Linked DNA regions of Caenorhabditis elegans. The protein of the gene in region 1 purifies or fractionates together with the protein of each later gene. This does not show direct contact. Each region holds a gene or a part of one and is shown on either strand. Other genes may lie near its edges. The genes, in order: cri-2 and mltn-1.

Region 1 (3,114 bases):
GGGAAGGTAAAGAAGGGTCAGATGTGTGGTGATAATTGTGTTATGTTTACTTTGTGAAAAGACAAGAAGAACATGAGAAGGTGGGAGAACACGGGAATTGAATAAAATTTATAATCCAGCTACAGATGAATTCAAAATTTTGTTTTGACAATTTAGCAAACTTATTCAAATCGGTAGAACTCAAAAACAGAAGGTTTTAGCGAAATGTGCTTGAATAAAAAAGTCGTGTTCATAATGTTGTTGACAAATTTTTTTATGAATATTCCACGACAGTTTTCAACGACAAACATTGGAAAACTCAAACAGTTTTACACAGTTATTCATTTTAAAACTGATCTCAGAGCACCCGAGCAAATTTGGAAACATTTTCTCAACAGGAACCTGAAACATGAAATTTTTCTCCAAAGATAACTTTAATAGATGTTGGGTATAGGAATTTTTTTCTTGATTTATTCAAAGATTAAAGCTATAAGTTTTGAACAAAATATTCCCGGCAGAGAACACATACATATATAGAACACCTGAAAATGTGAATGGCGCTGTTGAACCATTTCAGTGTAGCCATCAATAGGGACCGTGTAGTCATGTAGTGAGACTTTCACCCTTTGTAGTCTTACAGCTGAAAACATCTGTCACCCTCTGATTATCGAATACCGATTATTGAAAAAATAATGCTTTCAATTTTTTACAAACAATAACTTCTGCTCACTCACATGAAAATATCGTTTGTTTTATCATAGCTTCGCTTTAAAAGTTTTTTTCATTAATTGTAAGTTTATTTAATCAGATTCATTAAAGTTTTATTATCAAATACTAATAAAATCGTTTTTATTTCTTTCTAGCATTTGATAGACTTGACTTGAGATTGCAATGTCTGTGGAACCTGGAAGTTAACAATTTATTTAGCAAACAGCATTTTCAACTCACATTTTTCCATTCAAGAACGTTTTCAAATGACGTTTGAGATCTGTCATCTGGCAGTACTTGACCGCAAAGAACAGTATACAAAGCATTTGGTCCTTCAACACGACCAGCAAGTAGATATTCATGACCGGCGGCAATCTTGAGCCCGCAAGCTGGAGCTTCTGATGGAGTGAAAATTTCATCTGGCAGAGTTGTCATGTTGGATGGTTTCTGAAATTAAAAAAACTTTGACATAGAAACATTTTTCTGTAAGTTTGAAATGCATGTTACTTTCAGTTGTATAGAACGCTGATATAAGCTTATCAGTAAGTTTTTAGCACCTGCGGGGTAAAATAAATCAAACTCGCTTACCTTAAAAACCTCGACATGTTGCACAGTGTATCTCAAATTATTCAATCCCTTTCTCTCGGATCCTTCTGGAAGTCCTTGTTTTCCTACACGGACCTTCACTTTGACATGAGAAACCCAGTGAGCATTGCAGAATGATTCCTTGGTTGATTGCTCTCTACACTTGCAAGCAAGAGTTACAGCAATGAGAACTGATAGAATGACTAGAGATAAAGATAAATTTTGCATCTGAAAATGGAATTAGTATAAATTCGAGGTGAAAAAAAATTGTGAAAATGAAAAAAATGAAACATGAAGAAAGCAGGAAAATTTTGGTAATAATATATTTTTTTACACAAAAATTGTTTTTGATGGCAAAATAACATTAACTTGCTCAAATAATTCATTTTTCTAGCCAAATAATTCATATCATAAACTTTAAAAATACAAGAATCTATAAATTTGGGCTCAAGTTTTTGTTTTTGAAACAAACAAAAAAAAAAGAAAATAGTTATTTTGTTGATAGTTCAACCCAAGACTGATCGTGAGATGACATTGGTTGAGCGAATTGAATCGGTCAAGAGTAGATATAGTACAGAGATCCGAGAGATATGAGACGATGAGAGACAGGAAGTGTAACAATAACATTAGTGTGACAAAAAAAAATGAAAGATGGTGAATAAGTGATGAATCATTATTATGACGTCTTGAAATATGATAAAGATAACTGAAAAGAGATTTTGATAGAAATTCCAAACTCACTATTTTACAGACATTTTTCTGGAAATAATAGTTTTGGAAACTGGAGTCTGAATACTTAATTTGCATGTACATAAGAAATAAGTTTTGATTGAATTAATATGTAGAAAAAAAAAGTTTGCGAAGGCACGGAAACTCCTTGGCCTGCATAAATTTCTGTTATAGCATCCCAGGCAAATTTAATGTTCACCTATTATAACCCAAGACTATTGTAGCTTCATCATGGCATCGAGACTAATAACAACTTCTTCACAATGCTGCAAAACATAAACCAAAGTTTGTGATTCACTATTGGACTTTTGGAATATTTGACTTTATAAAATAAAAAACGAGACACAAAAATATTGTTTCACAAACCATTCATCAAACTTCAAAAAAAAAAGTTTCAATCCGTAGAGACTCACTCAAACATTCACTTTCAATGACAATAGCCAACTGCCGTGCTAATAATTGAACAAACTGACAGTATACTTCATTTCACGCTTGTTTCAAGCGAATGTTCAGCTTGGCTTATAGCAGTTTTTTCAGAGACCCGAGCTTTTATAAAATTCCGGTGGACTCATAAAATATGGTCACAAAACCAAAAAACGAAAAGCATCATTCATCCATACCAAATGATTTATGTGGTAATCAAAGCTTAAAATGAAATTCTTATGATTTCTGATTCTTTGATTCTAAAGCTTGAAAAATGTGATTCTAAAGCTTGAAAACAAGCTTGAAATATAATTTTGTTTGCCATGAGATTTTTGGATAAAAGACGATTTTTTTGCAATTATCGTTCACAAAATTGTTCTTTACAACTATCCCGAATGAAACTACTGAAAATTAAACATTATATGATTATTGTGGAATATTATTTTGAACTAAATTATCAGCTTTGATTATTTGAAATTGAAATTCCGGCAAGGAAGTAATCGTACTTTTATAAAAATTTTCATAGCCCATAAGTTCACATTTTCCCGTCCAAAAACAATTGTCTCTATAAATATGTTCATTGAACCTCTTTTTCCTAAATTTCCGCATTTTCCCACTATTTCTCTCAATTCTCCCAATTATGTTGTTGTTTGTGAGTGTCACCATAGGCCGTTCTACGGAGAGTTTTGT
Region 2 (7,944 bases), on another chromosome or scaffold:
CTAACTTGCCGAACACTCCTTGCTTGAGAGGAGCACTTAATGTATCTTGATGTAATTTGTTAATTTGTTAGACGCTCAGAAAACTAATCTTTATCCACTCTCATACCAGTTTTCGAACAGCTTAAAAAATATTTTCTTTAGACTATCTTGTCTGGATTTGTTTTAGTGTAAGTCAAAATAAAAATTATTATATTTTTATTATTATTAAAAATAATCAATTATTAAATTGTACATGTAATAGTTGTAGATTGAGAAGTTAGATATATGACCCATAAATTCACAAGTGAAGTATATATATATATATATATATATATGTTATGAAAGCCAACTTGGAGAGGCAAACACGGTGACCATAGCTCCATCGGATCCCCACGCGGGGCTCAGAGCATATGGAGAAAGCACGACAGCAGTCACATACTGAGGAGAGAGGATTGTCGGGGACAAGACGAATGGGGACAGAACTAGGGGACTCAACGCCAGTGGGTTCAGAATAATTGGTCCGAGACAGAACGGAGTCAAGATCAGTGGAGTCAGTACTTGTGGGGAGAGAATGAATGGGGCGAAGATGAGCGGGGAAAGTACGAATGGATTCATGGATCCTGGGCACAGGATGAATGGGTTAAAGGCTAGAGGTGATAGAATGATCGGAACCAGCAGGAACGGATTCACAGCTACTGGTGATAGAAGACGCGGGGAAAGAATGACAGGTACCAATAGCCATGGGGAAAGGATCATTACTCCGTAGACAGCTGGAGAGAGGATCAGTGATGACAGCATGACAGGAGACAGGATTGCCGGTTGGGAGACAGCCTGCAATATGGGAGATTTTTTGTTGGAAAATTTTGAATAAATTTTCCAGATTTTCAAGTAAGAGCGTTCGATTTTTGAGAAAATTGAGACAGAGCCACTGATAATGGCAATATTACACTATTCAAAATTTTTCTATGAATAACAGTAATTTTGGTGCTCCAAAAAATATTTAAAAATCAAAATTTTCCGAGTTTGCGAAGAACGGCAAATTTGCCGAATTTGCCGAGTTTGCCGAGCTCTGCAAATTTTCAGATAGCCCTGATCGGCACATTACGAAACTAAGATAGTCTTCGAGCAATTTTTCAAAACTTTCACTGAAAAGTAAAATTCTTTTCAGAATATACAAACATGTTTCTATATATTAAACAAAATTCGTTCCATCTGAAAATAACATTTATATTTGTTGAAAAATCTCTTAAAAAGCCTCAAGTTGTGCCAGAAAGTTGCCGTTTGCTGAAAAAAATGCCGTTAAAAGTATTTCGGCAAACGATAACTTCCAGGGACTATTTGAAAATTTTTTCAAACTTTTCAACAAACATAAATATTATTTTCAGATAGAACAAACATTTTTCTACACTTCTATACCTATTTTAGATTTAAAAAATTGGATTATCATATTGAAAATATTGAAGCCGTTTTGTATGTTTGCTGCACAGTCAGCAATTGTCGACCGGCACAGCAATTGTCGACCGGCAATTCTACAAAATGAGACGGTTGGCCAGGCTCCCCATAAATTTTTCATTGAAATTTAATGATAGAATATAAAAAATATTTGCTTCATTTAAAAATTACTGTTAGTTTAGTAGAAAGATCTTCAAAAATAGTCTGAATGTTGAAAATTTCCGGTGAAAATTGCCGAAAAATTGACGGCAATTTTCCACATTCAGACTATTTTTGAACACTTTCTCGCTATTTAAAAGTCTAGTGAAAATTATTTTCAAGTAAAGCAAATATTTTTTATATTGTATCTTTAATGAAAAAAAAATAAAAAATTTAATGAAAAATATTGTTGGAACATGCCCAACCGTCTAATTTTGTAGAACTGCCGGTCTGCAATTGTCATGCACCCCTGCGCACAGGCCAGTTAACTCACCACTGGATCCAAAATGAAGTTACTAAATGTGATCGGTGATAAAATAATATCATTTCTCTTTGCCTCAAATTTGACTTTCTCATGTGCCAAGTCCTTGATTGTTCCCATAATAGCTCTATCGATTTGTGGTCTGCTCATTGATTTTGCCAATTTCAAGAACTTCTCATTTTCCCCCACTGATCCCTTCCCGTAGATCAAATCCATCTGATCATGTCTCATAATAGTATAGCCTGTTCTGTTCATCTCCTTGAGCTGCTCATCGGTATAAGTTTTATCCAAAGACTCGAACATTTCGATTTTCCTCGCCTCATGCGGATATTTTTCTGTTACATTTTCTTTTGTGAAGTACAACGGTTGACCTTCAGGCCCTCTTCCCATCGCATCGTCTTTGAGTCTTCGATACTCTCCGATTTTTCTTTCAACCCGTTCCATCGCTTCATTGACACCAGTTGCTTCCACAATAAAATCCAAGAAATCCTGAGAGTCTTTGTTATCGGTGAGAGATCCTAGGATGTTTCCGAGTGATGCTTTCTTTTCTACTCCAGAGCCATCCTCGTGTAGAGCAAATAGTGAAGGAGAGAGGAGATCAATCTGTAAATTTCGAACATTGTGTCCGGCAAATATGCCGAATTTGCCAAACTGACCGAGCTCGGCAAATTTCGTGATTTGCCGCCCCTGGAATCGGCAACTTCGGAAATTTCCGGTTTTGGAAACTCTCGGCAATTGTCGGTTTTAGAAATTTTCGGCAATCCGCAATTTTGGAAATTGTCGGTTTTGGAAATTTCCCGGCAATCGGCAATTTCGGAAATTGCCGGTTTTGAAAATTTCCGGCAATCGGCAATTTCAGAAACTGCCGGTTTTGGGCATTTTTTTCGAGATTTGCTGGTTTTGGAAATTTTTGTTTTCTATCGAGATTTGCTTGTTTTCGAAATTTCCTGCAATCGGCAATTTTGGAAATTGCCGGTTTTGGAATTTTTCGGCAATCGACAATTTCGGCAATAGCCGGTTTTGAAAATTTTTGGCAATTGCCCGTTGCCGAAATTGTTATGGTTCGGCAAACTTGAAAATTGCCGGTTTTGGAATTTTTCGGCAAGCGGCAATTTTGGCCACTACCGGTCGCCAAAATTGATTTGGCCGACCGAAACTTTTGAAATTCGGCTAGTCCGAAAATTGCCGGGTGCCGAAATCGTTAGGGTTCGGCAACTTCGGCAAATTTGCCAAATTTGCCGCACACGCCTGTCCCTTACCTCATTATTCTTTGCAGCTTCTTCTTGTGGAATCACACTCATAAGACGTGGACTGATAATTCTGACAATTTTCCGATCGAAATCTGTTGTATTGTGACCCGACATTTCCAATCCCATCTTGGCGGCTGTTTTTTATTTATTATAATTAGAAGGTTTCGTTTTGTAAAAATATATCTTTTGGCCAAATTAAAAATTTTCACATTACTAACCATCTCTCATCATTTTCATCGGAATCATCATCAACTTTTCCTGTTCCGTCATTTTATTCTTCCTATTCCTCAACACCTCCTTAATCTGATCATTGTCTATAAATTGCTCCAAATCGTTGAACTCCTTTAAACTATCATCCTTCGCAATCTTCTTATTCTGCTTCATCTTTTCAGCTGCATCTGCATAAATCGACATTCTCTTTTGCATAAAATCCTCCATTTTCTTTTGCTCTTTGATTTCTTCGGCTTTCTTGGTGATTCGTTCGATAGTATCTTGCCACTTTGACACCTTGTCCGTCTTTTTGAGAAGTTTCACAGCGCTAGAGAGATGTCTCGTTACCAGGCCGAATGGTGTCCTAGAACAGATTACGGTTTATACATATTTTATGGCAGCAAACAAATTGTTTAAATCGGCAAATCGGCAAATTGTCGGAATTGAAAACTTCCGGCAAATTGGCAAATTAAAAAATTGCCGGAATTGAAAACTTCCGAAAAACCGGCAAACCGGCAAATTGTCGATTCGCCGAGTTTGTCGGACAATGGCAATTGCCGAAAACTGTCGACAAATAGTGGATTGTGGTTTTGTACTTTTTTGGAAATTTCAGAATTTCAAATTTTGTCGACAAAATGGTACGCATTCGATGAATGTTCCTACATCTGTTTTGAAAAAAATAAGCAAATTCTATAAAAATATCTAAAGAAAACGGGAAAAATTTCAAAAAGGCACAATTTTAAGTGTTTCCGTCTTATAAAAATTATCTTTAAAAACGTCTGGCAATTTGGCAAACCGGCAAACCGGCGATTCGGCAAATCGATAAATTGCCGGAATTGAGAATTTCTGACAAATCAGCAAATAGCCGAAAATCAAAATTTCCGACAAATCGGCAATTTGCCGAAAATCAAAATTTCCGGAAAATCAGCAACCCGGAAATTTGCCGAAAATTAAAATTTCCTGCAAATTGGCAAATCGGTAATTTGCCGAAAATGAAAGTTTCCGGAAAATCGATAATTCGCCGAAAACCGGCAATCCGATTTGCCAATTTTTTTTGTCAATAAACAATTTTTGCCGCCAACACTCAACCACTTACATTTCTTTTTCGGCTTTTAAAGTATAGCTATCTCTGGTGTGCACTCTAATTTCTCGTTTTGCCCGAAACTTGAATGACCCAATCCATTCTTTATCTTCCCGAATCTCTTTTTCAGTTATTGGAGTCATTGTAGTGTTGGTAACCATCTTATCGATTCGGCGACGCATCTCTGGAATATGTTCAGTACAGTGGGGATCAGGGCTGAACGGCTAGCTGATTTTTTTTTTTGGCTGTCAGCTCGTACAGCAAGCCGACTAATTGGGCAAAATTTGGGCAAAATTGGGAAAATTTCTTCAGAAATTCTCAAGTCAACTAGAAATGTTTACCTTTTAAACTACGTAAAATTAAAATGCTCACTTCTGCTGAAGAGCTTTCTCCTATGAACCAATCGATTTCTATGTGCGTCGTCTTCTAGCTTGAGCAAGCAACTTGCGTGCTCCGAAAGAGTTTCAGCCTCGGATGAGCATTTCTCATGGCTCTTTTTTTGGTAGTCTTCAACAAGGGCTAGTCTGAAATATTAATATATTTAACAAATTTAACAAATTGCTCGTGGCATTAAATGCGTATTTTCTTAAATGTTAAGTAACGAAATTTGAGAAATTGCCATTTTTAGATCTAACATGGTCCAAAACTACCAAATTTTGTAATGAGACGTTCTGAAAATTTATTTTTTAAAAAGTTATGGCCGCTCAAAGTTTAGGCAAAAATGGTCAATTTCTAGCTAAAATCTCAAATTTCGGCAACTTTTCAGAGTGCGCGGCAATTGCCAGCCGGCAATTCTACAAAATGAGATGGTTGGACATGTTCCCACAATATTTTTCATTAAATTTTCATGATATAATATAGACAAATATTTACTTTATTTGAAGATAACTTTTATTTGACTTGGAACAACCGAGAAAGTGTTCAAAAATTGTCCGAATATTGAAAATTACCGGTGAAAATTGCCGCCACTTTTTCGGCAATTTTAACCGGCAATTGTCAACATTCAGACTATTTTTGGAGATTTTTCTACTAAAATAACAGTTATTTTCAAATAAAGCAAATATTTTTCTATATTGTATCATTAAATTTTAATGAAAAATTTATGGGGAACATGCCCAACTGTCTCATTTTGTAGAATTGCCGGTCGAAAATTGCCGCGAAAAGTTGCCAAAATTTGAGATTTTAGCTAAAAAAAAAGATCATTTTTTCCAAAACTTTGAGCGGCCATAACTTTTTTTTGAAAAATTTTCAGAACGTCTCATCACAAAATTCGGTAGCTTTAGACCATTTTAGGTCTAAAATAACAAAGTCTGATCTCACCTTCTTGTAGCAATCGCTGCGACAACTCCGGAAAATCCTTGAACCGCCCAATGCTCCAAGAGCTCTTCTCCAGACTCTGTCGACATGGGAACATTGAAAACTTTGTCTTTATAATGTGGAGATTTCAAGATTTCTTTTTGCGTCAACCCATATTTTGTCACATCTACTTCCGATTTAACTTTTAAGCAGGTGCATGGATACGGTAGAAGTGTTAGAAATAAAATAATAGGGAATAGGATCATAATGTGGTAAACCAGAGACCAGAGAAAAGGGATTCCCTGTGATTTTATGGATTTCTGGATGTAAAGAGGGCGGAGTTTTCGGATTCATCCCGAAAGTTTTTCCAAAACGTGGTTATCACTTGCTGGGCGGTGCCTTCCCGTGACGAGGAGAGAAGATGTTCTCAAAGGATGGGAGATGATCCCGTTGAACCAAGATCTATAGCATAACAGGTGGCCACATTTTGATCCTGATTTTCACGATTTTGATGATAAAGATTGAAGTGTGTATGTGTGTGTTCATATCACGTGGAATGCGCATTGTTTCAATGATGCTAGTTTGAAGGGGGGGGGGGCGGTCAAAAAGGATTCAAGTTTTGGTTTTTATCTTTGAAAATGCGAAAAACTATTTGTTCCCTGTATGTGTGTTTGACAACTTCTCAGGTTCTTCGGATTTGGAAGGATTAGAAGTTTTATACGGTAATTCAGTTTTCTCGAGTGATATCCAATAGGATCCCTATATTTGATTACGATTTATGCACACAGTGTACCGGTAAACTAGGCTGGGCGGCAAACTACAAACGATTTTTTCCGGCAAATCGGCAAATCGGCAAATTGCAGAAATTTAGCATTTTGACAAATCGGCAACTTGCCGGAATTTAAATTTTGGGCAAACCTGCAAATCGGCAAATTGCCGGAATTAAAAATTTTTTGGCAAATCGTCGGAATTGAAACTTCCGGCAAATCGGCAAACCGGTAAATCGTTGGAATTGAAATTTTTGTTGGCAATCCGGTAATTTGCCGATTTGCCGAATTTGCCGGAAAAACGGAGATTTTCGAAAATTTTCGCCGAATTGTGGTTTTTCAATTTTTTTAAGCTTTAGAATTTCAATTTTAATCGGCAAAAATGTACGCATTCTATGAATGTTCCAGCATCTTTTTCGAAAATAAGCAAATTCTATGAAAATATTTAGAAAAAACGGGAAAAAATTTCAAAAAGGCACAGTTTCAAGTGTTTCTGTCTTCTAAAAACTCCCTCTAAAAATTTCCGGCAAATTGATGTTTGGCAAACGGCAAACCGGCAAATCGGTAAATTTCCGGCAATTCGGAAAATCGGCAAACTGCCGAAAATGAAAATTTCCGGAAAATCGACAAACCGGAAACTTGCCGAAAATTAAAATTTCCGGCAAATTGGCAAATCGGTAATTTGCCGAAAATGAAAGTTTCCGGCAAATCGATAATTAGCCGAAAATGAACGTTTCCGGCAAATCAGCAAGTTGCAGAAAATCAAAATTTCCGGCAAATCGGCAAATTGCAGGAATTGAGAATATCCGATAAATCGGCAAATCGACAAATTGCCAAAAATAAAAGTTTCCGGCAAATCGGCAATTTGCCAATTTGCCGAATTTGTCGACAAAAAATTTGCCGAACGGCAATTGAACAATCAATGACTTACATTTCTTTTTCGGCTTTTAAAGTATAGCTGTCTCTTGTGTGCACTTTAATTTCTCATGAATGTTCCTACATCTATTTTGAAAAGTAAGCAAATTCTATGAAAATATCTACAGAAAACGGAAAAAAAAATTCAAAATGCACAGTCTTAAGTGTTTCCGTCCTTTAAAAAATCCGCCTAAAACCTTCCGCCAAATTTTGAGCCGGCAACGGCAAATCGGCAAATCGCCGAAAATGAAAACTTCCGGCAAATCGGCAAACCGAAAATTTGCCGATTTGCCGAATTTGCCGGAAAATAAATTTGCCGAAAATTTAACAAATATATTTTTTACAAAAGAAAAAAGTTTGATTTCTTATCTTCGGAATTTAACATTTTTCAATATTTTTTTCATCTTAAAAAATTGTGAAATCTTCAATTGTCTTTGATTTTTGTAGCTCATTTCGTAGTAAAAAAATCGTGTTTATTTTTAAAATCAAATTTTAAATTAGTACGGCTTTATTATATTTAAAAAAAAATGCGAG

The links.
Region 2: the proteins of cri-2 (region 1) and mltn-1 fractionate together in Caenorhabditis elegans (co-fractionation; one large-scale study listed by BioGRID). This does not show direct contact.

The regions. Positions count from the first base shown.
Region 1 is NC_003283.11:8,200,194-8,203,307, reverse strand, and holds cri-2 (Putative metalloproteinase inhibitor tag-225), read right to left. Parts: upstream 1,501-3,114; coding exon 1,276-1,500; intron 1,135-1,275; coding exon 928-1,134; intron 884-927; coding exon 839-883; 3' UTR 785-838; downstream 1-784.
Region 2 is NC_003280.10:13,139,164-13,147,107, forward strand, and holds mltn-1 (MLt-TeN (mlt-10) related), read right to left. Parts: upstream 6,063-7,944; 5' UTR 5,995-6,062; coding exon 5,753-5,994; intron 4,957-5,752; coding exon 4,805-4,956; intron 4,617-4,804; coding exon 4,448-4,616; intron 3,716-4,447; coding exon 3,360-3,715; intron 3,276-3,359; coding exon 3,151-3,275; intron 2,495-3,150; coding exon 1,904-2,494; intron 811-1,903; coding exon 316-810; 3' UTR 181-315; downstream 1-180.